Anolis sagrei: one gene and its partners. The protein of the gene in region 2 binds, or shares a complex with, the protein of the main gene of each other region. Links are inferred from orthologs where the notes say so. Each region holds a gene or a part of one and is shown on either strand. Other genes may lie near its edges.

The links.
Region 1: the proteins of RAB7A (region 2) and PDZD8 are in contact, whole or in part, in a crystal structure (PDB 7F6J), measured with the Homo sapiens proteins. The link is inferred for Anolis sagrei from reciprocal best matches to the Homo sapiens genes RAB7A and PDZD8. Residues at the interface, in NP_004628.4 of Homo sapiens: Lys10, Leu14, Asp16, Ser17, Lys38, Ile41, Gly42, Ala43, Asp44, Phe45, Gln60, Trp62, Gly66, Glu68, Arg69, Phe70, Gln71, Ser72, Leu73, Gly74, Val75, Ala76, Phe77, Tyr78, Arg79, Thr98, Ser101, Trp102, Glu105, Phe106; in NP_776152.1 of Homo sapiens: Ile999, Lys1000, Leu1001, Val1002, Arg1003, Lys1004, Glu1005, Gly1007, Leu1008, Asp1009, Asp1010, Phe1013, Ile1014, Lys1017, Gln1044, Leu1051, Asn1054, Asn1055, Val1058, Leu1077, Leu1084, Gln1085, Thr1088, Ile1092.
Region 3: the proteins of RAB7A (region 2) and RUBCN are in contact, whole or in part, in a crystal structure (PDB 6WCW), measured with the Homo sapiens proteins. The link is inferred for Anolis sagrei from reciprocal best matches to the Homo sapiens genes RAB7A and RUBCN. Residues at the interface, in NP_004628.4 of Homo sapiens: Ile41, Gly42, Ala43, Asp44, Trp62, Gln71, Ser72, Leu73, Gly74, Val75, Ala76, Phe77, Arg79, Ser101, Asp104, Glu105, Ile108, Gln109, Ser111; in NP_055502.1 of Homo sapiens: His818, Asn821, Met822, Lys824, Thr825, Arg827, Leu883, Gln885, Ala886, Lys887, Gly888, Phe889, Ile890, Glu892, Gln895, Glu897, Ile900, Pro903, Cys915, Lys916, Arg931, Arg934, Arg938.
Region 4: the proteins of RAB7A (region 2) and RILP are in contact, whole or in part, in a crystal structure (PDB 1YHN), measured with the Homo sapiens proteins. The link is inferred for Anolis sagrei from reciprocal best matches to the Homo sapiens genes RAB7A and RILP. Residues at the interface, in NP_004628.4 of Homo sapiens: Ser3, Lys6, Leu8, Ile41, Gly42, Ala43, Asp44, Phe45, Leu46, Thr47, Thr58, Trp62, Ser72, Leu73, Val75, Leu182, Tyr183, Asn184, Glu185; in NP_113618.2 of Homo sapiens: Phe248, Glu249, Leu252, Gln253, Arg255, Asn256, Lys259, Ala260, Phe263, Leu264, Glu267, Glu268, Tyr271, Arg274, Glu275.

The regions. Positions count from the first base shown.
Region 1 is NC_090023.1:204,010,288-204,017,853, forward strand, and holds the start of PDZD8 (PDZ domain-containing protein 8), read left to right. Parts: upstream 1-4,566; 5' UTR 4,567-4,903; coding exon 4,904-5,730; intron 5,731-7,566. UniProt on the Homo sapiens protein: Molecular tethering protein that connects endoplasmic reticulum and mitochondria membranes. PDZD8-dependent endoplasmic reticulum-mitochondria membrane tethering is essential for endoplasmic reticulum-mitochondria Ca(2+) transfer.
Region 2 is NC_090022.1:56,363,432-56,370,550, reverse strand, and holds the start of RAB7A (ras-related protein Rab-7a), read right to left. Parts: upstream 3,021-7,119; 5' UTR 2,833-3,020; intron 1-2,832.
Region 3 is NC_090023.1:267,843,628-267,851,039, reverse strand, and holds the start of RUBCN (run domain Beclin-1-interacting and cysteine-rich domain-containing protein), read right to left. Parts: upstream 3,001-7,412; 5' UTR 2,908-3,000; coding exon 2,897-2,907; intron 1-2,896.
Region 4 is NC_090031.1:35,512,636-35,519,983, forward strand, and holds the start of RILP (rab-interacting lysosomal protein), read left to right. Parts: upstream 1-4,331; 5' UTR 4,332-4,370; coding exon 4,371-4,589; intron 4,590-5,399; coding exon 5,400-5,505; intron 5,506-7,195; coding exon 7,196-7,317; intron 7,318-7,348. Other genes in the region: PRPF8 (pre-mRNA-processing-splicing factor 8), read left to right, coding at 1,127-1,267, 1,365-1,504, 2,416-2,618, 2,722-2,876. UniProt on the Homo sapiens protein: Rab effector playing a role in late endocytic transport to degradative compartments. Involved in the regulation of lysosomal morphology and distribution.

The DNA of each region.
Region 1 (7,566 bases), on a different chromosome or scaffold from region 2:
CGGTAATGGAAAGTCCACAAGAAGGACAGAAGGGCATTAGTCCTGTACTGCTGATCTTTCCCGGCATCTGTTTCCTAGCAGAACACACATTGCCTCTTAGCAATTTCAAAAGGAGGTTTTTTTAATTTAAAAAAAATGCTTCCTTAAAAATAGAAACAAAATTCAATTGCAATATTCCTCAGGACTTTTACTGGCACTCCATGGTTAAATCATGAAGATTTTTCCTCTAATGAGTGCTTTGCCAGCTGTTGCAGGGAAGAATAATGAGTGCTGCCATAGTGGTGAACCCTTTCCCTCATGTTATTGTTGTCCACATAAAATTTGCTGGACATATAGAGTCAATTCTATGGTATTCACAAGCCAGGAAGTCAGTGAAATATGGAAACACATCCAAGGTTGTGGGACATCTAACACTTATTGATCACAGTGTCATTACACTGAAAATGTAATATTTGGCCTATTTCTGAGTATATTAGATCTACTGATTCCAAAAATGTCACCTTTCTTACTTCCTTTCTTATGTTTTCTACTGACATGCATAGAGGATTGTTGAAAACAGCACCGCTGTACAAAACAAATGTCAGCAATAGCGTGAACCCTTAAATAAAGCTGCATGTGTGGAATATTGTTGTATTTTCTGTGTTTTACGGACTGTATAGGCACATCTTGAAACAATTCATATGGCCATTCAGATTTTATTGGACTGTAACTTCCATAGTCCTTAACTTTTGGCTATGTCAAGGTTGATGGAAGTCCCCTTTCCCTCGTCTAAATTGTATTAATGTGAAATATATGTATCTTCTCCCTGAGTCAAAGCAAGATAAACTATTTAGAAGGTATAATACAACATAGCACTTGATGGATTTGATCCACCAATATCTCATATTTATCTAAAGTTGTAAAACATGCATTGCCATCTATTCTTCTCCTAATTTATTTTAGAAAGCTTCTTCCTTGTAATTCACTCCTTTATTGAGGCAACCGATCCATTCTAAGCCTAATGATGTATAACATCTAGACATCCATGTTTGTAATAACTATGAAAATAATTCCCCATATAATCGAAACAATTCTAAAACTGATAAAAATCACTCCGTGTTCTCTATTTGGGCAATTAAGGGCTGTACAAATATGCAGTTTTTTTCCTGTTCTGCTAACTGGCTGGAAAAACTTCCAAACTTCCCAGACTTTTTTTCCCCAGTCTTGTAAGATTACATTGGGATCAGGTCCCAATACTGCTTAACTCAATGCTTGGGCTGTTTGCATTTAATGCACTGGGGGTGTCTTGCTATTTTTCCAAGATTTCAGAAACATATTCGAATCTAGGTGGTTTCAAACTAGTTATAACTGAAAGTCAATAGTAGTAACATATCAATGTTTCAGAAAAAGTAAGATGGTGCAGAGTCTGGAAAACTAGTAATAAAGTACAGACAGTCCCCAAGTTTATTACTAGTTCTCCAGAGACACTCCAAGTGGCCAGCTTCTGGTCAAAGGAAATCAAGTATAATGGCAAGTTTGTGTTCTTTAAAATACATTATAACTGTACCCTCAATTCGCTTCTGACATGATAATTAAAAAATAGTCCCTGAAGTACAAACATCTGAGTTACAAATGACTCATAGTTAAGAACAGGACTGAGACAACAGGAAGAGAGAGAAATCTCCCCCTAGGAAGGGAAATCTACTCCTGAAATAGTTATCACGAGGAAAAGGTGCCTCCACTGAGGCTTTCTCAGCAATCCTAGTTTCCACAACAAGCCACATTTTACAAAATCCAGTTATCACAGGGACAGAAATCGAGGTGAAATATTCAGAATAGGGACACAAACAGCAAATGATGCACCATATGGGTGTTAACTCTTACCTGTGCAATCCAAAGATAACTATATCTATATATCTATATCTGGCTGGAGCAACACTTTAAAAATGTACCTGTTCTGACTTACATACAAATTCAACTTAAGAACAACCTACAGAGCCTATCTTGTTTGTAACTTAGGGACTGCCTGTACTCTTAATAGTCCGTTCCAATTGAATAGGCCAGTATATTCAACATTTTTTCAGCCTCAAAATAGTTTTCAGTAGCAGCTTGACAATTTTAGGATTGTAGTTCTAAAAAGCAGTTCAACAAACATTCACTTGAATCTAGAAATGCATCGCGGTCATCAAATTAATCCTTGCATATAAAGTATCCAGAACCCTGGTCTGTTGCACAGACATTATAGTTTTTCAGAAAAAACAAACAGTGGGTGTTTAAACACTTTTTTTTTGTATTGTCGAAGGCTTTCATGGCTGGAATCACTAGGTTCTTGTGGGTTTTTTTGGGCTATAGAGCCATGTTCTAGAGGCTCTATAGCCCGAAAAAACCCAAGCATGTGGACAATTTCAACAGAAAGGAAGAGACCATGAAAATGAACAAAATCTGGCTACCGGTATTAAAAAACTCTAAAATTACAACAGCAAAACTACAGAGAGGAAACAACCAGGCACAGATTAACACCTCCCAGCAAGAGATTTTCCCAGGCTCAGGCAGGCCTTCTAATGCTAATGAAGGTGATCAGCTGAAACATTCACACCTAACTGCAGCAGGGAAGGGCTCCTTGCCCCACCCCGGCCATTCCACAGATATATAGACCCATTGTCCTAATTCCAACGGACCTCACTGCCTCTGAGGATGCTTGCCATAGATGCAGGCGAAACGTCAGGAGAAATGCCTCTAGAACATGGCTCTATAGCCCGAAAAAACCCACAAGAACCTACATTTTTTTTAAAATAAAAAAATCAGTACTGGAGGAATGTACACATTTATTTTTTTAAAAAGACACCCGCACAAACCTCTGTCCAAACCTACATAAGAGAAATCTTGACAAAACCTCAAACTATTCTTGGAACCTAATCCAATACATTGTCCATAAGATTTTTTCCCCCCATGTCAGGAGTGACCAGTGGGAATCTTCCCGTCAACAAGGCGCAGAATCATAGCTATAAAGATGGGAAATAAGTTACATCCTTGTTTGATACCTGATCCCCCTTTAAATGGGTCACTTAGGGAGCCATTGCTGTCCAATTGCTCGCAGGATATTCACATTTTTATCAGGGCATCCAGTTTTTGGAAGATGGTCCAAAGAGCACTGTGATTCATTGTACTGAAGGCCTTTGCAAGGTCAATGAATGCCATGTACAGAGGTTGTTTTTGTTCCCAAAAATTTTCTAGAAATTGTTGCACAGTGAAAATTATATTCAGAGAGGATGTCTTTTGAAATAGGTATAATGTGAGCCCTTGGTATCTGCAGGAGTTTGGTTCCAAGACCTCACGTACTGTGCCCTGTAGATATTAAAATACATGGATTTGTATAAATCAAAATGGTGAAATCAAAGTTTGCCTTTTGGATTACATATATATGTATGTATTTAACCCATGCATTCAGAATCCGCGGATACAGAGCGCTAACTCTACACAATGCAGATCTGAGAAGGCAGATAGCAATCTGGAATATACTTTACGTCTGCATAAAACAGTAAATATGGCAATTCTTTTGTGGTGCTAGAGGAGGGAAATAAGACACAATCAATTTTCTAATAAAGTTACCCAACAGGTTCAAGAGTAGAGTAGAATATGCCGTAATTTGGCTGGTATAAAATAATAATTTCTTTCTATGCATTGTTTTCAGATTGCAATCCAATGACCACTTTCTTGAAAAGGAGATTTCTTAAAATCAGTGGGATTTAACTTCTGGACCAGAGCCCCCGATGGTGCAATGGGTTAAACCCTTGTGCTGGCAGGACTGAAGACCTACAGGTCATAGGTTAGAATCCGGGGAGAGCACGGATGAGCTCCCTCTGTCAGGTCCAACTCCCTATGCGGGGATATGAGAGAAGCCTCCCATAAGGATGGTAAAACATCAAAAGCATCTGGGCGTCCCCTGGGCAATGTCCTTGCAGATGGCCAATTCTCTCGCACCAGAAGCGACTTGCAGTTTCTCAAGTTGCTCCTGAGACCAAAAAAAAAGCATTGAATGCCCTTGTAGCTTCAAAGCCTGGCTGATTGCTGCCTGGGGAGATCCTTTGTTAGAAGGTGTTAGCTGGCCCTCATTGTTTCTTGTCTGGGATTCCTCTTTTTTGTGTGTTTTTTTTTTAGTATTGCTCTTTATTTATTGTCCTGTTTTAGAAGTTTTCTTTGAAAATAGATTTTGTTCATTTTCATAGTTTCTTCCTTTCTATTAAAATTGTCCACAGGCCTGTGGATATCAATTCCTACCGGCTGTTAGGAATTGTGGGAGTTGAAGTCCAAAACACCTGGAGGGCCGAAGTTTGCTCATGCCTGCTGTAGCAGGTGAAGGAACAAAAAGGGCAGCCGGGAGCGCACAGGCCAGGAGTGCGCATGCTCACATTCCACAATGTGTTTTTTCCCTCCCCGTCGTGACCCCTCCCACTCCTCCTCCTCCTCCCCCTCCTCTACCACCCCTCCCCCCCACCGCCGCGCGCGAGGCCCCTTCCTCTTTCCGCAGTATTATGAGCTCAGCGCGCGGCATGGCGTGCCCTATGACGTAACCCGCCGGGCTCCTCCAATCAGAGCACGAGGAGGGGGGGGGGAGAGAGAGGCAGTTGGTGCCTTCTGCTGGGGAAGCGCGCGGAGACAAGAGAGTCAGGGAAAAGACCCGGATGTGCCCCCTTGCTGTTGTTGCGTGAAGGAGCGGGTCGTGGCCGGCGCCTGAGGCCGCCCCGCCAGGCCGCAAGATGGAGGAGGCGGGGTTTGGGGCCGTGGCGCCGCCGGTAGTCGTGGCGCCGGCGCCGCCGTCTCCTCCTTCGTTGCCGGGCGCGGCGGCGGCGTGAGGCGTGAGGCGGAGGCGAGGGCCGCAGGCAGGGAGGCCTCTCGGAGAGGGAGGTGGGGCCTCGGCGGGGCCATGCTGTCGGTGTATGGGATCCTGTTCTCGGCCCTGCTGGGCTCCATCCTCACGCTCCTGGCCCAGGTGCTGCTCTTCTACCGGAGGCCCCCGGAAGCCCCCGAGGGCTCTATCTCGAGGCCGGGCCCCAGCGCCTTCTCGCCCCGCGTGGTGCCGGACACCAGCCTCAGGGAGTACCTAGCCGGCTTCATCAGCTTCTCCGCGGAGCCCAAGCCGGCCTCGCAACAGCCCTCGCTCCAGGAGTCGCTCTCCTCGGTGGAGTGCACCGAGGAGACCCTCTACTGGCTCAATACCATCAACCTCTTCCTCTTCAGGGAGCTCAAGGACACGTCCCTGCTCCGACACTGGGTCACCAGGAAGATCAAGGTGGAGTTCGAGGAGCTGCTCCAGACCAAGGTGACGGGCAAAGTCCTGGAGGGGCTGAGCCTGCGCGACGTCTCCTTAGGCAACGTGGTGCCCCTCCTCAAGAACATCAAGATCCTCCGGCCAGTGACCTGCAGCGAGGACGGCTGCCCCGAGGAGCTGGACTTCGAGCTGGACCTCGAGTACCAGGGGGGCTTCCACCTGGCCATCGACGCCGACCTGGTCTTCGGCAAGTCGGCCTACCTCTTCGCCAAGATCTCCAGGGTGGTGGGTCGCCTGAGGCTGGTCTTCACCCGCTTGCCCTTCACGCACTGGTCCTTCTGTTTCGTGGACGAACCGGTGATCGACCTGGAGGTCAAGTCGCAATTTGAAGGGAGGCCCTTGCCACAACTCACTTCCATCATAGTCAGTCAGTTCAAGAAAGTGATTAAGCGCAAGCATACTTTACCTCACTATAAAATCAGGTAAGATCTCGAGAGAGAGGATATTTATTTATTTATTTTTATTTACTTCCTTTCTACCCCACCTTTCTCGACCTGGGAAGGGACTCAAGGTGGCTTACAAATCCGGCAAAAATTCAATGCCACACAGGTAAACAACAACAACAACAACAATAATAATAATAATAATAAACTTTATGTATACTCTGCTACCATCTCCCCAAAGGACTCAGTGCAGCTTACATGAGGCTAAGCCCACAATACATCAATAAACAAAAGCAATAACAACAATCAATACAATACAATTAATATAAAAATCACATAAACACAAAATAAACAATCAACAGTGACACACGAGCATTTAAAAACCAATGGCCGGGCCAAATGTAATAGATTAAAATTTAAATTAAACACATCTCATAAAAATATAAACAATCTAAGCATATAAGCAATTAAAACACAGAACAATCTACATTTGGTGGGCGAGGAAGCAGAAGGAAAGCAAGGAAGTATGGGGGGGGGGGGTTCAGAGGTGCACAGACCACATTTTCTGAAGTTGTCAGTGATTGTGGCTTGCATCCACATTCACAAAACTATGACTCTACAGCAGTGGTTCCCAAACTTTTTTTGACCAGGGACTACCCTGACCAGGGACCACTCCCCATACCAAAAGGGTTATGAATCAGTTTTTGGTCAACTTCAGAAAATTGCATTGGATAGACCACATCAGCTCTAGTTGCTAATACAGAACATATGCCGTCCAGTAGTCGCCATCTTCTCGCCCACAGAAAGCCATATTTAATAAGCCTCAGTATTATAAGAAGGTTTTGCAAGACCAGTCACTCTCATTGCAATGGTGTAGTGATGGTGAGGCCGCAGTCCAAATTTTATTTATTGCAGGCCATTGATGGTCCACAGACCACAGGTTGGGAACCACTATAATACAATGTATTTTAGAAGCCAGCCATCTAGTATGAGGAGGAAGTATTCGGGGGTGTTTCAAAAGTGCATAGACCACATTTTCTGAAGGTAATAATAATAATAAACCTTTATTTATACCTCGCTACCATCTCCTGAAGGACTCAGTGTGGCTCAGTGAGCATGGCTTGTATCCACATTCACAAAACTATACAGCATATCTTAGTAGTCAGCCATCTGGTTACATCACTGAGAAAGTATGAGGGGGTGTTTCAAAGATGCACAGACCACACTTTCTGAAGGTGTCTGTGGGCGTGGCTTGCATACACATTCATGAAGCTATAATTCTATGACGTATTTTAGTAGCCAGCCATCTAGTTGCATCACTGAGCCATACACCTCATATTAGACCAGGGATGAAAACTATGTGGCACTATCCAACACAGCCAACAGTAAAGAATGCTGGGATTGGGAGTCCCAACAGTGTTTGGGAACTCCATGATTGCCATGTCTGGACTGGCTGAGTATTCCTTATCTGAAATTCTTGAGCCCAGAAGTGTTTTGAATTTTAAATTATTTTGGATTTTTGTTTATATGTACAGGTCTAAACACAAAATTCATTTATATTTTGTATACACATAGCCTGATGGTAGTTTTATTAACTTTTTAATACATTATTTTTGGCTTGAAATAAAGTTTTAGAACATTGAACCATCAGAAAACAAAGTTGTCCCAATATCAGCCACTCATGTGGATAGTATAGGATTTTGTAATTTAGGATGATGAGGGGTTCTAAAATTGTACTAGACGTTTGAAGAGAGTTCCAACTAGTAGGTCACTGCTTATCTTGCAGCATCTGATTTCTCGATCTCTTTTGCTAAACATAGGCCAAACATGTATCTTGTTTATCAGGAAGGCAAATTTCAGTACATTGTTAAAAAT
Region 2 (7,119 bases):
TCCAGATGTACTTCATGATTTCTCTAGATTATGCTCCATCTTGTTTCAAGAACTATCAAGTTATAAAACTAGATCTCAATATAAAATGCATACGCTATTTAAATGACTTCTTTGTTCTGATGCTTAGAATTTCAAGGGCAAGTAGAGTACCATCAAACATATATTAGAGACACGTATTAGAGACGATATATTCAAACACAAATTAGAACCATACAGCCTGAAAAACTCACAACAACCCAGTGATTTCAGCCATGAAAGCTTTCAACAACATATATATTAGAGACCTTTCTTGTTTGTGTTTAAGACCCTTGGGTGGAAATGTTATAAATAGGGAATTAGATTGCTATAGAGCTCCCACATGCTATTTGCCATGATTTCTGAAGTAAAAGTGACAGGCTGCATTGCTGGCTTTATTCAAAACTACTTGTTGGCATTTTGGTGATCTCTTTACCTAGACAAACTGTAGTTAGCCATCCATGAACTAAATCATGTGCTTTATCAGCTGCTTCAATCACAAGGGAAGACAGTATGCTTGTTCTTCCCAACTAAGAGGGCATGGCTAAGAACAGGGAAAGTATCTAAACTCCTCCTACCATTAATCAAGTTTTACTCCTCAGCAGCGGAGCAACGAAATTAAAAGCACACTCTGAAAATCTGTGAAGTTTACAAAGATCAGTGAAATTACACATGTAATATTTAAAATATAACACATACACAAGAATACTTGGACTACTGAAGTGAATTTAAGCAAGCCAAATTTAAACCTGGCTTACATTTTATTATCTGGCATTTGACAGTCATTTGTTACAAAATCAGTTGGAAGGGCAACTCATTTTAGTTTCAGTAATTTCCACTAAATTCTTAGAATTCAGCATGCTTCCAGGATTCATTTGCCATGCTTAAATATTTAAATCTTTACAAAAAGGTACAGAAAATGCTAGTCTGATAAGAACTTTCTCCTACTCAGTTGCACATGCGTGCACACACTATTACCAAGATAAATCCTGTTCTGTCCAAGGACATTGATGAGTCAAGACTTGGAGTACTCTTGGACTCTTTTGCAGTCTTGACCAATACTAGTGAATACTCAGAAAGGCAGCACACTTACAAGTTACATACTTGGAAGAGATCAAGCTTTGTTTGCTTTTCCTAATTTAATCAATGATCTCATGTTTAACCAGTAAGATAGCATCAAGTTGAAGGACCCAATGGTTTACCATTTGTGCATTCTGAGTAGATTCTAGCAATATATTATTACCCTTAGCTGTCCTTGTGCGTACCAGAGGCATTCCAGAATTGTCCACAAACATACTACCTAACCATTTATATGAATCACTAGCCATCCCCTGCCACGTGTTGCTGTGGCCCAGTCTGTGTATAAGTGCTTTTTGTGTGTATATGTATGCATTTGTGTATATGTGTGGTTTTGTGCATGCATTGTAATTGGGGGTGGGTGGGTGCTTTTTAAGTCTCTTCTGTGTTTTTCAACATTTTTATGAGTGATGGTCACTCATTGGACTAATACGTGTATTGTGTCCAAATTTGGTGTACATTCGTCCAGTGGTTTTTGAGTTATGTAAATCCCACAAACTAACATTACATTTTTATGTATATTGATAATCAATGTAGGCTTACACATAAGTCTTCCTACTATACAATGGGACAAGCTTGCTTATAAGACCGAGCGACCAAAAAAAATACCATTCAGGAAAGAGTACATTTACCTCAGGTGATTATTTACACAGGGAGCGGACAAGAAAGTAATCCTCAGGAGATGGTTTCAATTTCAAACTTCCCGAAGTAATATGACACCAAGGTCAAGCACTTTGGCATGAACAAGGCAGACGACTAAGGCCCCTTCTACTCTTGACTATTTAATGAAGTTGGAAACTAGCTTCAAACTGCGGAGAGCAAACAACAAAGCCCCACAAAAGCGTGCGAAAGAAACCTCTTAACGCTGAGTGATCTGTGTAATCACCATCCAGGCCTCGAAGTGGCTCCTGGATTTCCTCTGTAATCGTCTGCACAGCGAAACCACTTTCTTCAACACCGGTTGGAAATGGATTTAAGTGATTACTAGAGATGGGGCATGAGAAACAAAGGCGTGTTACCTTACCTTTGAACTCTTCAACCGGGAGCGACAGGAAGCGTTATTGTTTTGCCTGCAGGGAAGGGCTGGCGGGAGGGGACCAGAAGGGGGAAGGGAACCTACTCGGGCCGGGCTTTCTCGCCTTTCGGTTTCGGAGGGCCAAGGTCTAAGTCACACTCAGGCCGCTTCTACACAGCTGTATAAAATCCACATTGAACTGGATTATATGGCAGTGTGGACTCAGATAACCCGGTCCAAAGCACATATTGTGGCTTATCCGTCTTGATATTCTAGGTGATATGGCTGTGTGGACTTCAAAGGTATCAGGACGAGCACGGGGCTCCACCCCACATCTCTTTGTGTCGGGGGAGAAAGAGGAAGAAGCTCGCTCCTCACACCAAAATCCCTTCCGGGAAGGCCGCCTCCCTTTCGTTTTCCCTCCGGAGCTGCCGTGAGGAGGCAAGGAACTTCCAGAGCGACTCCTGCCTCGGAGAGAGAGCCAGGGCGGGGCCCGGGGCCGCTCTCTCCTCCCTCCTTGGCAGCCGAGGCAGAAGGGCGGCCTGAAGCGCCGAGGGAGCCGCGCCCTCCTCCTCCTCCTCCTGCTGTCTCCCAAACAAGCCCCGCTGGCGCTGCCTGGGCCGCACACCCAAGGCCGGGCCCACCGGGACGCCAAGCCTCGCTTAGCCCCACCCGCCAGGCCTCCCTCCCTCGTTCGCTCCCTCCCTCCGCCGCCCTTCCCTCACCGTCTCAGGGGGCCCGGAATCCTCCTCCTCTTCCTCCTCGGTGGCGACTTCTGTGGTAACTCAACAACAGCAGCAGCAGCAGCGGTGACAACCTCCTCCTCCCTGCGCCGCTCAGGTCCGCTTTAATGGGGCCAAACACCCTCCCCGTTTTCACTTCCGTCTCTCGCTCGCCCTCTTCCGGTCACGAGACCCGCCCGGCGTGCCGACGCGCCTAGTGGGCGGGGCCACGCCGGGAAGGCTTTGGGTTCCTCTGTCGCAAGAGGGTGGCCGCTCTGCCCCCGCTTCTGTCTATGGTGCCGCCTCGCTCACGTGACTCCTCTGTCAGTGAAGACAAAAGAAGCCGCTCTCTTAGTCCATCCTCAGGAATGGCTTGAGCTGCCAGGACTCCATGCGGGGGAATCCTGGGAGTGGGAGTTTGGCGAGGCCAAGAAGACTAAAGACGGTGTAAAACTACAACTCTCATGATTCCACAGCACTAAGCCAGGGCGGTCACAGTGGCATCAAACTGTACTAACTCTGTATTGTCGAAGGCTTTCATGGCCGGAATCACTCAGTTCTTGTGGGTTTTTTCGGGCTATATGGCCATGTTCTAGAGGCATTTCTCCTGACGTTTCGCCTGCATCTATGGCACGCATCCTCCTCTGAGTTGGGCTAGGTGCCCTTTGTCTCACCCTGGTCATCCCACAGATATATAAACCCCCTTTTTCCCAGTTCCAGCAGACCTCACCTCTGAGGATGCGTGCCATAGATGCAGGCGAAACGTCAGGAGAAATGCCTGTAGAACATGGCCATATAGCCCGGAAAAAACCCACAAGAACTGAATATACTAACTCTACTGCAGGCATGGGCAAACTTGAGCCCACCAGGTATTTTGGACTCCAACTCCCACGATTTCTAACAGCCTCGGGTCCCTTCCTTTTTCATAGAATCATAGAATCAAAGAGTTGGAAGAGACCTCATGGGCCATCCAGTCCAACCCCCTGCCAAGAAGCAGGAATATTGCATTCAAATCATCCCTGACAGATGGCCATCCAGCCCCTGCTTAAAAGCTTCCAAAGAAGGAGCCTCCACCACACTTTGAGGCAGAGAGTTCCACTGCTGAAAGGCTCTCACAGTCAGGAAGTTCTTCCTCATGTTCAGATGGAATCTCCTTTCTTGTAGTTTGAAGCCATTGTTTCATGTCCTAGTCTCCAGGGAAGTAGAAAACAAGCTTTCTTTCTCCTCCCTGTGGCTTCCTCTCACATATTTATACATGGCTATCATGTCTCCTCTCAGCCTTCTCTTCTTCAGGCTAAACATGCCCAGCTCCTTAAGCCACTCCTCATAGGGCTTGTTCTCCAGACCCTTGATCATTTTAGTCGCCCTCCTCTAGACACATTCCAGCTTGTCAATATCTCTCTTGAATTGCTTCAACTGCTTAAGCGGCTGAGAAGGAAAAGGAAAAGGCCCGAGTCTGTTAGGAATTGTGGGAGTTGGAATCCAAAACACCTGGAGGGGCTAAGTTTGCCCATGGCTGCTCTATAATAACAATAAGCTTTATTTATGCCCCGCCACCATCTCCCCAAAGGGGACTTGGGCGGCTAACATGAGGCCAAGCCCAAAGATACAATACAGCTCAATAAAATACAGAATGCAGACAACAAAAATATACATCAGAATAAAATACATACAGTAGCAAAATAAAATAAAGCAAACTAACATAATATAAAATCGAAAAGAATGGGCAGGCCAAATGGATGAGGTAGAATGATAAAACCCTGGATAGGATAGGAATAGAAAATATGTAATTGAGGGGAGCCCAAAAAGGATAAACAGTAGGGTAGTTTTCAGTTTAGGACGGGGGGGGGGGGGGGAGTGCGTCATAGAGACAACACTATAGATGAAGCAAACAGAAATGGGATAAATGGTCACTCTCCAAAGGCACATCAAAAGAGCCACGAATTCAGGTTTTTCTTGAAGGCTGCTAAAGTGGGGGCTTGCCTAATCTCACCTGGTAGTGAGTTCCAAAGATGGAGAGCTACAGCTCTACAGTGTAGATGCACCCTATGGCATTGTAAGAAGGGATCTAGCAGCCCAGTTCAGGCTAGTAGTTTTATTTGTTATTTATTATACACACACATACATACATAGTTTATAATAATAAACTTTATTTGTATTCCCACCCCCTCTCCCCAAAGAAAGTTGGGACAGCTCACAACACAAAAAATATACATAATATCAAACAAAAGCCTGTAAATAAAAAAGAAAACAATAAATATCGTTAAGCATAGTTAAAACAACTAATGGCCGCTAAACCCACCAGTATAAATATCAAACAGTTTAATACATTATACTTTGTACTTTATTTTTGTCTTGTCTTTCTCTCAATATTACTACCAAAGGCACCAAACAATGTAAACACATTAAAATATCAATGTACTTTAAAAAAAACCACTGTGTGCCATTAACAACATTGAAATAATTGAATTCTTTGTGCCATCAAACTATTAATAATTATAATTATAATTATAAACTGCTCTCTCTCCCCAAGGGGACTCAGGGCGGTTTACATACAAAAAGGCAAACATTCAATGCCATAGGAAAGCAAATACACACAGATTAACCTAATACAAATAACATCAATAAACTTATAACTAAAAAGATAATTGAATTACTACTAATAATAATAATACAAATATTTAAATAAAACATGATTACACTAATAAAACATAGGTCCAATAAAAATATGTAAAATATTCTAAAACATTAACATTCCACATTGACCCAAAATCCCAGTCACACCATCCCTAGCAGCCTACCTTTCATCAGTCCAAATTATATATATATATATATATATATATATATACACACACACACACACACACACACACACACACACACACACACGCGTGCACACACACACAACACACATACATATACACATGAGCCTTTTGTAAATAATAATATCTGTCCACATCTGCGTCCTTCAGAAAGATGCAAATCCTGGCCCTCTGTCCTAAATCTTCAAAAGACTGCATGGGGAAATTTGGGTCTTTTGGGTCTTTACAACATTGATCTGTGAAATTGGGAGATTTCCTTTGTTATATTTCCAGTTGTGGGGATTCATGTATTGTGTTATAAAACTATTTTCTTTATTCCTACCTCTGCTAATAGATTGCAGATTGTGAATGACATTCAATTGCTCTCACCAGTCACCCGTTGTGATTTCTTTCTTCAAGAATTGCTCCTTGAAAATCCTATACAGGCTGAGCATCCTTTAGCCAGAATTCCAGAAACCTCCAAAATCATGGTTGAGATAGTAACACTTATGCTTTGTGATGGTTCAGTGCATACAAACTTTGTTTCATACACAAAATTTTAAGAAAGACTATACAATTATTTTCAGGCTATTTATATATAAAGGTAAATGAATTTGTTTAGAATTGGGTCTTATCTTCAAGATACCTCATTGTGCATATTATATTCAAAATCTGAGTAAATAATTCAAAAACCAAAATGCTTCTAGTCCCAAGCATTTCAAAGAAAGGGTATTCCACATATACTGTTTGACCAGGAAAGTAGAAATCTATTACATTATCTCTCACTCCCACAGATCTGTAAATATGCTTAACAACCTGAGGCTTTAAGATTACTAGGGATGCATCTGCACTGTGAAATTAATGCAGATTGGCTACACATTTACTGCCATGGCCAATGCTATGGAATCCTAGGATTTGGTGACAGGGAAGGCTAAAACTACAATTGCCATTATTCCCTAGCATTGAGCCATTGAAGTTCAAGTATCAAACTGCCTCTTATGTCATAGCAGCTGAACAAATGGATTAATATTCATAAAATGTCATGAAAAATATAAACCAGTCAGTCTTAAAAGGTGCTGCTAGATTCCCCCTTTGTTGTCCCATTCCCCCCAATCTTCTCTTTATCACTGTAATTATGATAAGTAGATCATAAGCCAGGTAAGATCATGGATAGGCTGATTGATTTTCCCATGGATCCTGCAGGGAACTTTACTGAATCCTCACTGTCACAAGTTTCCAAGGGGCACTAGTACTTGCTTGCAGCAAAACCAAGAGAGATCCCCATGACACCTATACAATTAATAAATTTATTATAGCATATGCTTTCAGGAATTAGAACTGACTTGGTCAGATACATGCAGTGTTGATTTCAGCCTCAATTCATTTAGTAGACCATAAACCCCCTTAAGCAGTGCGGAGCCTAATACTGTACCTAGTGAATGCTCTGTAAAATAAACCCCTTGTTTTCACCAGGATTTCTTTTGCAGTC
Region 3 (7,412 bases), on a different chromosome or scaffold from region 2:
TATTGTAGCATTGATGTTTTTGATGTTAATTGACTAATGATTTTGTACTGTGTTGCTGATTCTGGTTGTTAACCGCTCTGAGTCGCCTGATGGCTGAGAAGAGCGGTATACAAGTAAAGTAAATAAATAAATAAATAAATAAATGTTCCTGCTGTCCTATAATTCTTTCTCATTAAGAGCTCAGCTGCCACATTTTGGTCACTAACTTGCACATCTTTTGGGACTGACCGTTTGCTCTGAACCATCTAAACCCGGCATGGGCAAACTTGGGCCATTCGGATGTTTTGGACTTCAACTACCATAATTCTAAACAGCCTACTGGCTGGGTTGTTATGGATTTTTTTAGGCTATATGGCCATGTTCTAGAGCAGTGGTTCTCAACCTGGGGTCCCCAGATGTTTTTGGCCTACAACTCCCAGAAATCCCAGCCAGTTTACCAGCTCCTTCACTCAAAACAAATTGATTTTGTCATTTGGAGTTGTAGATGTTGGGATTTAGAGTTCACCTACAATCAAAGAGCATTCTGAACTCCACCAATGATGGAATTGAACCAAAGGTGATACACAGGACTCCCATGACCAACAGAAAACACTAGAAGGGGTTGGTGGGCATTGACCTTGAGTTAGGGAATTGTAGTTCACCTACATCCAGAGAGCACTGTGGACTCAAAACAAGGATGGATCTGGACCAAACTTGGCATGAATATGCCCAAATAAGAACACAGATTGAGTTTGGGGGAAATAGACCTTGACATTAGGGAGTTGTAGTTACTCGGATTTATAGTTCACCTACAATCAAAGAGCATTCCGAACCCCACAAACAACAGAATTGGGGCAAATTTCCCACACAGAACCCCCATGACCAACAGAAAATACTTATGGCCATCCAGTCCAACTCCCTTAACCAGGGCAAGAAAATCTAATCAAAGCCCTCCTGACAAAGAGCCATCCAGCCATCGATATAGATAGATAGATAGGTAGGTAGATAGGTAGAAATACTGTTTACCCACAAGCATCAAGACATTACATATATTAGAAACCAGCACTTTCTCATTACTTTATTTTCCAGATCAACAGACTGGGCCACAGCAACGTGTGGCAAGGGAAAGCTAGTTTATGATATTTATAGCTCGCGTTTCTCAGCCATACGGCGACTCAAATATATATAAATATAATATAGTATAAATATAAATAAATATATAAATATATTTATAAATATAATATTAATATAAATATAATACAGTATAGTAACAATAATTCCTCAGTTCCGTGTTACCCCTTCCTCCATCACATACTGTAATATAAACATATAATATATAATAATAATAATAATATTGTAATATGTATTGTCGAAGACTTTCATGGCTGGAATCACTAGGTTCTTGTAGGTTTTTTCGGGCTATATGGCCATGTTCTAGAGGCATTGTCTCCTGACGTTTCGCCTGCATCTATGGCAAGCATCCTCAGAGGTAGTGAAGTCTGTTGGAACTAGGAAAAAGGGTTTATATATCTGTGGAATGACCAGGGTGAGACAAAGGACTCTTGTCTGCTGGAGCTAGGTGTGAATGTTTCAACTGACCACCTTGATTAGCATTTGAAGGCCTGGCTGAGCCTTGGAAAATCTTTTGTTGAGAGGTGTTAAGATGTGCCTAGTTATTTCCTCTCTGCTGTTTTGCTGTTGTAATTATAGAGTTTTTTAATACTGGTAGCCAGATTTTGTTCATTTTCATGGTTTCTTCCTTTCTGTTGAAATTGTCCACATGCTTGTGGATTTCAATGGCTTCTCTGTGTAGTCCGACATGGTGGTTGTTGGAGTGGTCCAGCATGTTCTCAAATAATATGCTGTGTCCAGGTTGGTTCATCAGGTGCTCTGCTCTGGCTGACTTCTCTGGTTGAAGTAGTCTGCAGTGCCTTTCATGTTCCTTGATTTGTGTTTGGGCAATGCTGCATTTGGTGGTCCCTATGTAGACTTGTCCACAGCTGCATGGTACACGGTAGACTCCTGCAGAGGTGAGAGGATCCCTCTTGTCCTTTGCTGAACGGAGCATTGGTTGGATTTTCTTGATGGGTCTGTAGATAGTCTGTATGTTGTGTTTCCTCATCAGCTTCCCTATGCGGTCAGTGGTTCCCTTGATGTATGGCAGGAACCCTTTTCCTCTGGGTGGATCTTCGTCTTGACTCTTGTGGCTTGTTCTTGGTCTTGCAGCTCTTCTGATGTCTGAGGTGGAGTCTCCATTGGCCTGGATACAACCAGGCACATCTTAACACCTCTCAACAGAACATTTTCCCAGGCTCAGCCAGGCCTTCAAATGCTAATGAAGGTGGTCAGCTGAAACATTCACACCTAGCTTCAGCAGAGAAGAGCTCTTTGCCCCACCCCAGTCATTCCACAGATATATAAACCCATTGTCCTAATTCCAACAGACCTCACTACCTCTGAGGATGCTTGCCATAGATGCAGGCGAAATGTCAGGAGAGAATGCCTCTAGAACATGGCCATATAGCCCGAAAAAACCTACAAGAACCTAATATTGTAATAATTTCCCAGTCCCCTAAGTTACTGCCTCCTCAATTCCATTCCTACAGAAAATAATATATAATATCAATATATATTCTATAATATATATATATATATAATAATTCCTCAGTCCCTTAAGTTGCTACTTCTTTGATCTCATTCCCTTAGAATATAAATATAATAAATGTAATAATAATAATTCTTCCCTCAGAATATAAACACACACACACATATATACACACACACACACACACATATATATACACAAACACTATAATAGTAATTCCTGAGTTCCCTAAGTTGCCCCCTCCTCGATAATTCACAATATAAATCTATAATATTCATATAAACAGATAATAATCCCCCTCCTCCTTCTCACCCGGCTTCCATCCCAGGCGGAGGAGGCCCAAAGCGCCCTCAGGAGCCACCGCCTCCTTCTCCACAACTACATCCCCCTCAGTGCGCATGCGCCCCGCCCTGCCGGCCAACTCCGGAACTCTGACTGCGCGCGCTCCACGCATGCGCACGCGAAGGCGCGCTCCTCCCTCCCTCCCTCCCTCCCACAGAACGTCCCTATCCCTCCCAAACGCGCATGCGCCACTACCAACCGGGATTCTCAATCGCAACGCATGCGCAAACGAAAGTTCCGTCTTTTTTTTCAATCACACGCCCACATGCTTTAGGTCGGAACTTCAACTCTGACTCTAGGCGCTCCACGCATGCGCACATGAAGGCGCTCTCCTCCCTCCTTTATTTATGTACAGGGTTAGTCAAAATGAATAGGACAATAAGAAAATTAATTGTACCCGAATTGGCCTATTCATTTTGACTAACCCTGTATTTATTTACCTTACTTATATACCGCTGTTCTCAGCCCGAAGGCGACTCACAGCGGTTCACAACAAATACGAACAGCAAAAATTCAGTGCTGCAGTATAGAAACAGTTAACAACCTAACACAATTAATAAACAGTTACTACAATACCCATTCATCAAAAACATGTTCCAGATTCGTCATCCATTGTTCCATTCCAGTGTTCATTAACCAATCATTGCACTAATTATTCGAACGCCTGCTCAAACAGCCAGGTCTTCACTTTTTTGCGGAATACCATTAGAGATGGTGCTAGTCTAATGTCCGTAGGAAGGGCGTTCCACAGCCAAGGAGCCACCACCGAGAAGGCCCTATCTCTCGTCCCCGCCAGCCGAGCTTGAGAAGCAGGCGGGATCGAGAGCAGGGCCTCCCCGGAAGATCTCAAAGTCCTGGTGGGTTCATAGGCAGAGATGCGGTCAGATAGGTAGCTTGGGCCGGAACTGTTTAGGGCTTTAAAGGCCAACGCCAGCACTTTGAATTCAGTCCGGTAGCCAGTGGAGTTGGCACAACAGGGGGGTTGTATGCTCCCTGCTCTCCGCTCCTGTTAAAATCATGGCTGCCGAGCGTTGGACTAGTTGAGGCTTCCAAGCAGTCTTCAGAGGTAACCCCACGTAGAGAGCGTTGCAGTAGTCTAAACGGGATGTAACCAAAGCGTGGACCACCGTGGCCAAGTCAGACTTCCCAAGGTATGGGCGCAGCTGGCGCACAAGTTTTAATTGTGCAAAAGCTCCCCTGACCACCACCAAGACCTGGGTTTCCAGGCTCAGCGGATGAGTCCAGGATCACTCCCAAGCTGCGAACCTGCGTCTTCAGGGGGAGTGCGGCCCCATCCAACACAGGCTGTAACCCTATGCCCTGTTCGGCCTTACGACTGACCAGGAGTACCTCTGTCTTGCCTGGATTCAATTTCAATTTGTTCGCCCTCATCCAGACCGTCACAGCGGCCAAGCACCGGTTCAGGACCTCGACAGCCTCCTTAGTGACAGGTGGAAAGGAGTGACAGAGTTGGACATCATCTGCGTACAAATGACACCGCACCCCGAAACTCCGGATGATCTCACCCAGCGGCTTCATGTAGATATTAAACAGCATGACAGTCAAGTTATTCTAAAGCTATTCCATTTTAGTTTAATCGCCTTCTTTATATCTTGATCACACGTATGACTCAATTACCTTTATATTAAAACATATTTTATTTCTATTGAATAATATATAATAATAATAATAAAATTACAATTACAATACATGTTCTGTTAAAACCAGAGTATTTCCTATAGGGAATTATAGACTTTAATTTAGATAGAAATAAGGATATAATATTTAATTACATGGGTATCAGCCAGCACGTCAACGACTTAAATCTAGAAACAGTTTTCTAAGATCTACAGAGACACTCGCTGGAACACCTCAGCAAGCGAGAGTCCAAAAGTGGCAGCTATGATAAGAGGATCAAAGTTGCCCTACTATTGTGTATAGAATCATAGAATCAAAGAGTTGGAAGAGACCTCATGGGCCATCCAGTCCAACTCCATTCTGCCAAGAAGCAGGAATATTGCATTCAAAGCACCCCTGACAGATGGCCATCCAGCCTCTGTTTAAAAGCTTCCAAAGAAGGAGCCTCCACCACACTCCGGGGCAGAGAGTTCCACTGCTGAACGGCTCTCACAGTCAGGAAGTTCTTCCTCATGTTCAGATGGAATCTCCTCTCTTGTAGTTTGAAGCCATTGTTCCATTGTAATTTCGATTACAATACATTTTCAGTTAAAACCAGAGTATTTCCTATAGGGAATTATAGACTTTAATTTAGATAGAAATAAGGATATAATATTTAATTACATGGGTATCAGCCAGCACGTCAACAGGGTGTCTGCGCCCCACACCGCTGGAGAAATTACACTGCTTAGCTGGTATTGCACCACCTGACATCCACCGGGAAGTGGCAGCCAATAGTGAAAGGACCAAGGCTGAGACATCTCCAGCTCATCCCTTGTTTGGGTATCAGCCAGCACGTCAACGACTTAAATCAAGACATAGTTTTCTTAGATCTACAGAGACACTCGCTGGAACACCCCAGCAAGCGAGAGTCCAAAAGTGGCAGGCTCAAACCCAGAACCTCAACCAATGGCTGATACCAAATGAGAGACTCCCCCCTGGGCACACAGAAGACTGGGCGACTTGAAAGGCGCTGAACAGACTGCACTCTGGCACCACGAGATGCAGAGCCAACATCAAGAAATGGGCCACAAAGTTGAATCCATGACATGTGAGTGTGGAGAAGAGCAAACCACTGACCACCTGCTGCAATGCAACCTGAGCCCTGCCACATGCACAATGGTGTTCTTGCGGTAACACCAGAAGCACTCCAAGTGGCCAGATACTGGTCAAAGTACATCTAATCAACTACCAAACTCACAAATTTTGTATTTTGTCTGTTTGTTTGCTTTGTTCTGTTAGAAATGTGATATAATTTGACTGGTTGTCCTGACACGACAAATAAATAAAAATAAATAAATAAAATTTAATTACATCATAACCGCGGCTAGAATAGTGCACACCCGATATTGGAGGGGGAAAGAAACCCCGAATCTAAAAGAATGGTTAATAAAGATGCTGGAAGTCAGAAGTATGGGTAGCCTAACACAACAACTTAGATATTTAACAACAGATTGGAATTTATTAAGTTTATGGAACAAGATAAAATGGAAATATTAATATAATCTTATTAGGAGAAGGGTAAATATCTCTTAGCTTACGAAGAAGAATGGGATGAAACACAAAAGACGACAGAAGAGTAGAAAATAGATCCCACAAAGCAGAAGATGGGAAGTCAACCAACCCTTTCCTCCTCTTAGTGAGGCTGAACACGGAACTCCCTGCCTTCAAGCTGATCTGACCTGCAGCAGGGAGTTCCCCAGTTCTCCATTGCCCCGCTTGGGCCAACCGCATGGACGTGGCCACAGCAGCAGCTGCAACTCAGGAGCCTCTTTATTTCTTTGCCTTTTCACCTTCCTAACATTGTAACTAATCCCCCAATAAAAAGTATTAGTTAATTGTAACTTATCTCCTCTTCATAGTGTTACTTTGTGTCCCTTTACTACCTCACACTTTTCTCTTGATAGACCTTTCTTCTCCCAGGCTGCAGATGGCGGTCGGCCCTCCTGGGATGCGATTTTCGCATCCCGGGGAGGCCTAAACTGCATTCCCTTAAACCACGGATACGGAAACCCCTCGGGTGCCCGTATCCACGAGTCAATGGATCACTCCGGAAATTGTGCCAATCTTCTCCTGGGAGAATTCTAAGTCTAATGGCTATCTCGGTTTCGCTCCACTGCCCTTTCCGCCCCAGGAATAACCTTTTTTGCCTCTGAAACCCCAACCTGGAGTCCAGCTGTTTTTCCAAAGATGTTGCCTCCCTGCCACCATTTTGTGGATGTCCAAGGAGCCTGCTGCTCCTGGGAAACTGTCGTGGTCAACCCATGGGATCCCTAAGATGTCGGCGGACCGCCTTGGTCCTTGGTGTGGAGGGATCTGTAGTTCTCGCCATGGATCTCGATCTTCAGCGTTGATGGATGGCCATAAGGACTCTGTGGACACTGGGACACCTTTTCCCACTTGCCTTTTCTGGATTTCTACAACTTTGAACAACTTTCCCAAACTTTAAAGATCTTTTGAAAACTTTATGGAACTTTTCCCCAAGCCCTATGAGCTCCTTTTTCATGATTGAGGGATGGCATGGTTTTGTGCTAATGAACTTATTAATCTGGACTCTGGTGGGTGGGATCGGTGTATATGAAATTCCCTTAAGCGTTAATATTCCTTATGTATCTCCCCTGACCCCTGTGTATGTGCCTGTATATGAAATATGGGAAGCCACCTTTTCATGACCTCCAGCATGACATCAGCCTTGGGTAGTCCATTTCGCAAGGAAAATTCCTATTGACTTAAGGTTTTAAACAAAGACTGATTGCATGACAATAACCTGGCCCCTCTCGAGTCCATGATGAGGACCACTCCAGTCGCC
Region 4 (7,348 bases), on a different chromosome or scaffold from region 2:
TTATTATTATTATTATTATTAGATGATGATGATGATGATGATTATTATTATTATTGTATTTGTACTATATATATTCTTCTTATTATATTGCTATATTGTATTTTATGATTATTATATTATATATTATGATGATGTTTACATGTTCATAACAACACAGTACAACATGCACACTAAGTCCAAGTGTCTGGGCTTCGTCTCTGAATATCGGGCTCCTCCCAAGGGTCTGGGGTATTAGAGTATTATTTATTATTATAATAGTGTTATTATATTTATTGTAATTAGATATTATTATTTTATTTATTATATATTATTATTATTATATTTACATGTACATAACACAGCACACATGCACATTAGGGCCTATGATATTAGAGATATTATTACATAATAATCTAATAATTAGATAGGTCCAAGTGTCTGGGCTTCATCTCTGCATACCAGGCTCTTCCCAAGGGCTTAGGATAGTAGAGGTATTATTAGATTATTATTATTATTGACACAAAAGTACAGTATGTCACAGCAAACGAGGTCTATATGCTGGATTTCGTATCATTATTATTATAATATTTGTATTATATATTATTATATTTCTATAATAATATATTATTATTAATATAATAATAATAAGAGTCAGAAACGACTGAACGAATGAACAACAACATATTGCTATATTTTATTACATATAATTGTGATGTTTACATGTTCATAACAAGTTCATCTCTAAATACCAGGCTCTTCCCAAGGGTCTGGGGTATTAGAAGTATTATTTGATTATTATAATAGTTAGTGTTATTATATTTATTATAATTATATATTATTATTTTATTTATTATATATTATTATTAAATTTACATGTACATGCTCATTAGGTCCAAGTGTCTGGGGTTCCTCTCTAAATATCGGTCTCTTCCCAAGAGCCTGGGATATTAGATGTATTTTTGCAGATTGATGTTCTGTCCAAATTAAGGCTTTTTGAGGTTTCTTGGAATTATTATTATTATTATTATTATTATTATTGCTGCTGCTGCTGCTGCTGCCAAGCTTTGCTTAGTAGGGAGAGGGCAGGCTTTTGGGGCGTCTCGTCCCTCGCCTTGATGTAGGCCCACTTCCTCCTTTCTCCCCCCAGATCGCCGGCTACTTGTATGGGGTGAGCCCGCCAGACAACCCTCAGGTGAAGGAGATCCGCTGCATCGTGATGGTGCCGCAGTGGGGGACCCACCAGACGGTCCACTTGCCAGGGCAGCTGCCCCAACATGAGTACCTCAAGGTGGGGATCGTGGGCCAAAGCCGGGGGGGGGGGGGGGGTTCCTGCCATTCTAAAGGCTTGGCCGTCATCCCTCTTGACCTTGAACCTCTCTGTGCAGGAAATGGAGCCCCTGGGCTGGATCCACACTCAGCCCAACGAGTCCCCGCAGCTCTCCCCGCAGGACGTCACCACCCACGCCAAGGTCATGGCTGAGAACCCCTCCTGGGACGGGGAGAAGACCATCATCATCACCTGCAGGTCAGGGACACGTCCGGGGGGGGGGGGGTTAAATCTTTTATCTTCTATCTTTCCATCCATTCATCCATCCACATAATAAAAGTGAAAATCTGTCTGTTGTGTGTATGTGGCTGGTGTGCCCACTTACACAGACAAGCTCCTCCCTACAGCTCCAACTCCCACCAACCCTTTCCTATTCTTTTCTATGGCCACTGGTGGGAGTTGTAGTTCACCCTGCATCCAGAGAGCATAGTGAACCCCACCAATGGCGGATCTGGACCAAACTTGCCACACAGATCCAACACTTTCAAATCACCCAAGCCAGAAATTTCCATAACAGGAAAAATTATTTTAAAATATTAATTGACAACAACAGTTTTCTGTAATGTTTGTTATAAGTTGTTTACAACAAAGTAAAAAAAAAGTTGTAATTTTGCATTCGACAATTTAAACATTCTTGCCGCTAACATAGCTTGTTTATGTGTGTGTGTGTGTATATATGTGCGTGCTCAATGAGGACTACCACCTTGTTGCCAGGATTGGGGATGAGTTCCAACAGGATGTGTGGGGTGAAGGGCTTGCTGGCGGGTTTAAAATATTTTTAAAATATTAGTCAGCAACAATAGCAGTAGTTTTTAAATATTTTGTAATTTTTTATAAGTTGTTTACAACAAAGACTTTGTAATTTTGCATTCGACAATTTAAACATTCTTGCCGCTAACATCGTTGTGTGTGTGCATGTGTGTGTTTATATATGTATATATGCTGAATGAGGACTACCACCTTGTGCCAGGATTGGGGGTGAGTTCCAACAGGATATGTATGATGGAACTGGACAATGTTTTTTTTTAAATGAGGATTTATTGGCTTGTGTTTTATTACTGTTATGATTTTAACTGACCCCCTTGCCTCTTTGTTTCCCTTTTGCGCAGCTTCACGCCCGGCTCCTGCACCCTGACGGCCTACAAGCTGACGCCCAGCGGCTACGAATGGGGCCGGCAGAACACGGACAAGGGCAACAACCCCAAGGGCTACCTGCCCTCCCATTACGAGCGGGTCCAGATGCTGCTCTCGGACCGCTTCCTGGGCTTCTTCATGGTCCCGGCCCAGGGCTCCTGGAACTACAACTTCATGGGTGAGATTGAGAGAGAGAGAGACCCTTCCTTGGGACCCACAAGGAGCCTTTCTCCCTCTTGTCTTCTCACAACACCCTCTTGTTTGACCCCCTTTTTTCCCAGGCGTGCGCCACGACCCCAACATGAAGTACGAGCTGCAGTTGGCCAACCCCAAGGAGTTCTACCACGAGGTCCACCGCCCCTCGCACTTCCTCAACTTCGCCCTCCTCCAGGAAGGGGAGGTCTACTCCGCCGACCGCGAGGATCTCTACTCCTGAGGCTGACCCACAACAACAACAACAACAAGGAGCACCCCCTTTGTTTCTCCTTTCCTTCAAGAAGAGTTACTCCTCAGCATTTCACCCCCTTAGTTCCTCTTTCCACACAGTATGGCTGTGGAGGGATTGCGCGTTGTCATGTACAGTGTCTCTGCCCCTTTCCCAGTGTTGTCGAAATAAAGGTTTTGTACAAAGTTGGTGGCGTTGTACCCTCTCCTTCTTGTCCCTCCTGCTCATATTTTTATTTATTTCTCATATTTATTTGTCATATTTATTTATTTCTCATATTTATTTATTTATCAATTTTATTTCTCATATTTATTTTTCATTTTTATTTATATATATCATATTTGTCATACTGATTTATATTTTTTTATAATATATTTATTTATTATTTTTATTTATTTGCCATATTTATTTATTTACCATGTTTATTTAGTTATTTGTCATATTTATTTATCATATTTATTTATTGTATTTTTATTTATAATATATTTATCATTTTTATTTATTTATTTACCATAATTATCTATTTATTTACTTACCATATTTATTTAGTTATTTGCCATATTTATTTATTTATCATATTTATTGTATTTTTATTTATTTATAATTTATCATTTTTATTTATTTATCATATATATCTATTTCTCGTATTTTTATTTATAATATATTTATCATATTTATATTTATTTATTTATTATTTTTATTTATTTGCCATATTTATTTATCATATTTATTTATCTATATTTATTTATCAATTTTATTTATTGTATTTTTATTTATAATATATTTATCATTTTTATTTATTTATTTACCATAATTATTTATTTATATTTATTTACTTACCATATTTATTTAGTTATTTGCCATATTTATTTATTTATCATATTTATTGTATTATTTATTTATAATTTATCACTTTTATTTCTTTACCATATTTATATTTATTTATTTCCTGTATTTATTTTTATTTATTTATAATATCATATTTATATTTATCACTTTTATTTTTATTTATTTATTTATCTATTTATATTTATTTATTTATCAATTTTATTTATTGTATTTTTATTTGTTTATATTTATCTATTTTTATTTATTTATTTCTCGTTTTTATTTATTTTTATTTATTTATGTCATATATTTACCATATTTATTTATTTATCATATGTATTTCTCATTTTTATTTTTAATATATTTATCATTTTTATTTATTAACCATCTTTATTTACTTATATTTATTTATCTATTTATTTATATTTATTTCTCATTTTTATTTAGTTATTTATTTCTCATATTTCTCAGCTTAAAGGGCTGAGTGGGAAAAGGAAAGGGCCTGAGGCCAGGAATTCTGGGAGTTGTAGTCCAAAACACCAGGAAGTAGGCCCAGGCCTGTCTTAGTTGTCTTGGTTTGTTTTGCTCTGGGAGGGGGCGTGGCCTGCTTGAGCCCCGCCCCCTTAGTGTCCCGAGGCGCTCCGGCCAGTGTCCCGGATGGAGTCCCCTCGGCCGAGCGCGCCTCCGCCTTCCTCCCGGTCCGCGGACCCTGTCTACCGCCTGGCGGGCTCCTTGGGCTCAGAGCTGCAGCGCCTCTCCGCCCTGGTGGGCCCGGACGCCGTGGCCGGATTGGTCACCCAAGTGGTCCGCCTCCTCGAACTACTCGAGGCCTGGGCGCGGGAAAAGCCAGGCCTCAGGGCCGCCCTCGCGGAACAGGTGGGCTCTTCTGTCCCTCCCGGGGCCCCGTACCTCCTCGGCTTGTGATTGGCTGGGGACCCCTTTGGACTTTCCTGATTGGCTGGGGACCCCTGTCGGCAGGATAAAGGAATAGAACCCTTTATGTCCCCTCGCGCCCTCCGTATCTCCTTTCAGTTTCTATCCCGGACAACTTAGAAGCGGGACACTTTTCTCATTCGCTGGGGACCCCTGTCGGTACAATAAAGGAATGCAACACTTATGTCTCCTCGAGCCCTCCGTATCTCTTCAATTTCTCTCCCGGACGCTTTTTGATTGGTGGAGGATCTCTAGGTAGAAAAGGGACGCTTTTTGATTGGCTGGGGTCCGCTTTGATTAGAAAAGGGACGCTTTTTGATTGGTTGAGGATCTCTAGGTAGAAAAGGGATGCTTTTTGATTGGCGGAGGTCCTCTTTAATTAGAAAGCGGCGCTTTTTGATTGGCTGGAGATCTCTGGGTAGAAAAGGGACGCTTTTTGATTGGCTGGAGATCTCTAGGTAGAAAAGGGACGCTTTTTGATTGGCTGGAGATCTCTGGGTAGAAAAGGGATGCTTTTTGATTGGCTGGGGACCTGTTTGGGTAGAATAAAGCAACAGACCGCTTAGCAGGTGAGTTTAAATGTCCCCTGGGGCCCTCCGTATCTGTTTAGTTTCTTCTCCGGAGGTTTCTGATTGGCTGAGGTCCCCTTGGGGTCGAAGAGGGACGTTTCCCATTGGCTGAAGGGCGGGGGCTTTGTGGGGAGAGCCTTTTTTGTCCCCTGCGGCGCCCCGTCACCCGCCTTTCTCCCCTCAGCAGTGCCAGGCGGAGGAGGAGAAAGAGGAGGAGGAGGAGGGCCCTTGCCCGGAGGAGAACACGCAGCTCCAGGCCCAGCAGTGCCGGGACCGCCCCCCAGGCGGAGGTAAGCACCACAAGAAACCCTGGTTGGCCTGAGTGGGAGTCTCTTTGGCCTCCTAAACAAGGATCCCCCCCCCCCAGGCAGGAAGCAGCCAGGCTTTGAAGATGCAAGGCCACTCAGTGCTGATCAAGGTGGCCAATGACAACATTCACACTTGCCTCCAACAGGCAAGAGGTCTTTCTCCCATCTCCCAACAAAGGATTCCCCCTCAGGCAGGAAGCAGCCTGGCTTTGAAGATGCAAGGCTGCTTAATGCTAATCTGGAACCCCCTCCCCAAAGATCTTAGACAGGCCCCTACCCTGGCAGTCTTCAGAAAGAACTTGAAGACCTGGCTGTTCCGATGTGCCTTCCCAGAATAGGAAATCTCCAACACCAAGTCCCAGAAGCACTTTAGTAGAACTAAGATTGCTGCACACTGCACGTTGCACTTGCCCTATAATGCCTTACATACCTCCCGTCACATCAGCACTTTTAACCTTGTACCCATTACTCTGGCCCGGCCCAGTTTTATTGTGTCCTGTTGTATTGTTTATTGCTTGTTGTTTAATATTGCTTTAACTGTTTTTAATTTGCTTTAGGTTTGTATTGTTTATTTATTTACTTACTTACTTTATTTGTATACCGCTCTTCTCAGCCCTGAGGCAACTCAGAGCGGTTTACAATTATTTAGGTATACACAATACAAAATCATTAAGCATTTAAAAGCAATAGCATCACAAGTCATTAAACATCAATATCAATACATCACTACATCAATATAACAAATCTATCAGGTCTCATCAATGAAATCAGAATCCAAACTATGTTTGTTATGTTGTGTTTTGAGGCCTTGAGTGGCAGGCTCAAACCCAGAACCTCAATCCATGGGTGATACCCGACGAGAGACTCCCCCCTGGGCACACAGAAGACTGGGCAACTTGGAAAGCACTGAACAGACTTTGCTCTGGCACCACGAGATGCAGAGCCAACCTCAAGACATGGGGCCACAAAGTGGAATCCTCGACATGCGAGTGCGGAGAGGAGCAAACCACTGACCACCTGCTGCAATGCACCCTGAGCCCTGCCACATGATGCACCAGGGAGGACCTTCTTGCGGAAACACCAGAAGCAACACCAGAAGCCTTTTCTGTGGTGGCCCCCTGGCTGTGGAACGCCCTTCCTATGGAAGTAAGATCAGCCCCCTCGCTGATGGTGTTTCGAAGAAGACTAAAAACTTGGATGTTTGAACGGGCATTCGGTTAAACAGTGCAATCAATGTGAATGACTACAGGAACTGGAAAATCGGACGACGAATTGGATCATGATTTTAGTTATGAGTTGTATTGGGTTAACTATTGTTGTGCTAATATTGTGTATTATGCTTTTGTTGATCTTAAATTGTATATTGTGGTTGATTTTATTCTTGTTGTAAACCGCGTTGAGTCGCCGGCCAGGCTGAGAAACTGCGGTATACAAGTAAAGTAATAAATAAATAAATAAGCACTCCAAGGGGCCAGAGACTGGTCAAAGGACATCTAATCCACTACCAAGTTTGCAAAAATTGTGCTTTTTTAATCTGTGTGTTTGTTTTGTTCTATTAGAAATGTAATGGAATGTTCTGGTTGCGGATGACACGATAAATAAATCCTTGGTGTTATGGGGTGACTGACCTCTTCTCTCTCTCTCTTTTTCTCCTTCCTCTGCCCATGTGCAGAGAGCGCCCTGCGGAAGGAGCGGGAGGTGATGCTGCGGCTGAAGGAGGTGGTGGACCGCCAGCGGGACGAGATCCGGGCCCAGGCCCACGAGATCCACTGCAAAGCCAGGGACACTGAGGCGGTAAGGAGAAACAACATTATTATTATTATTA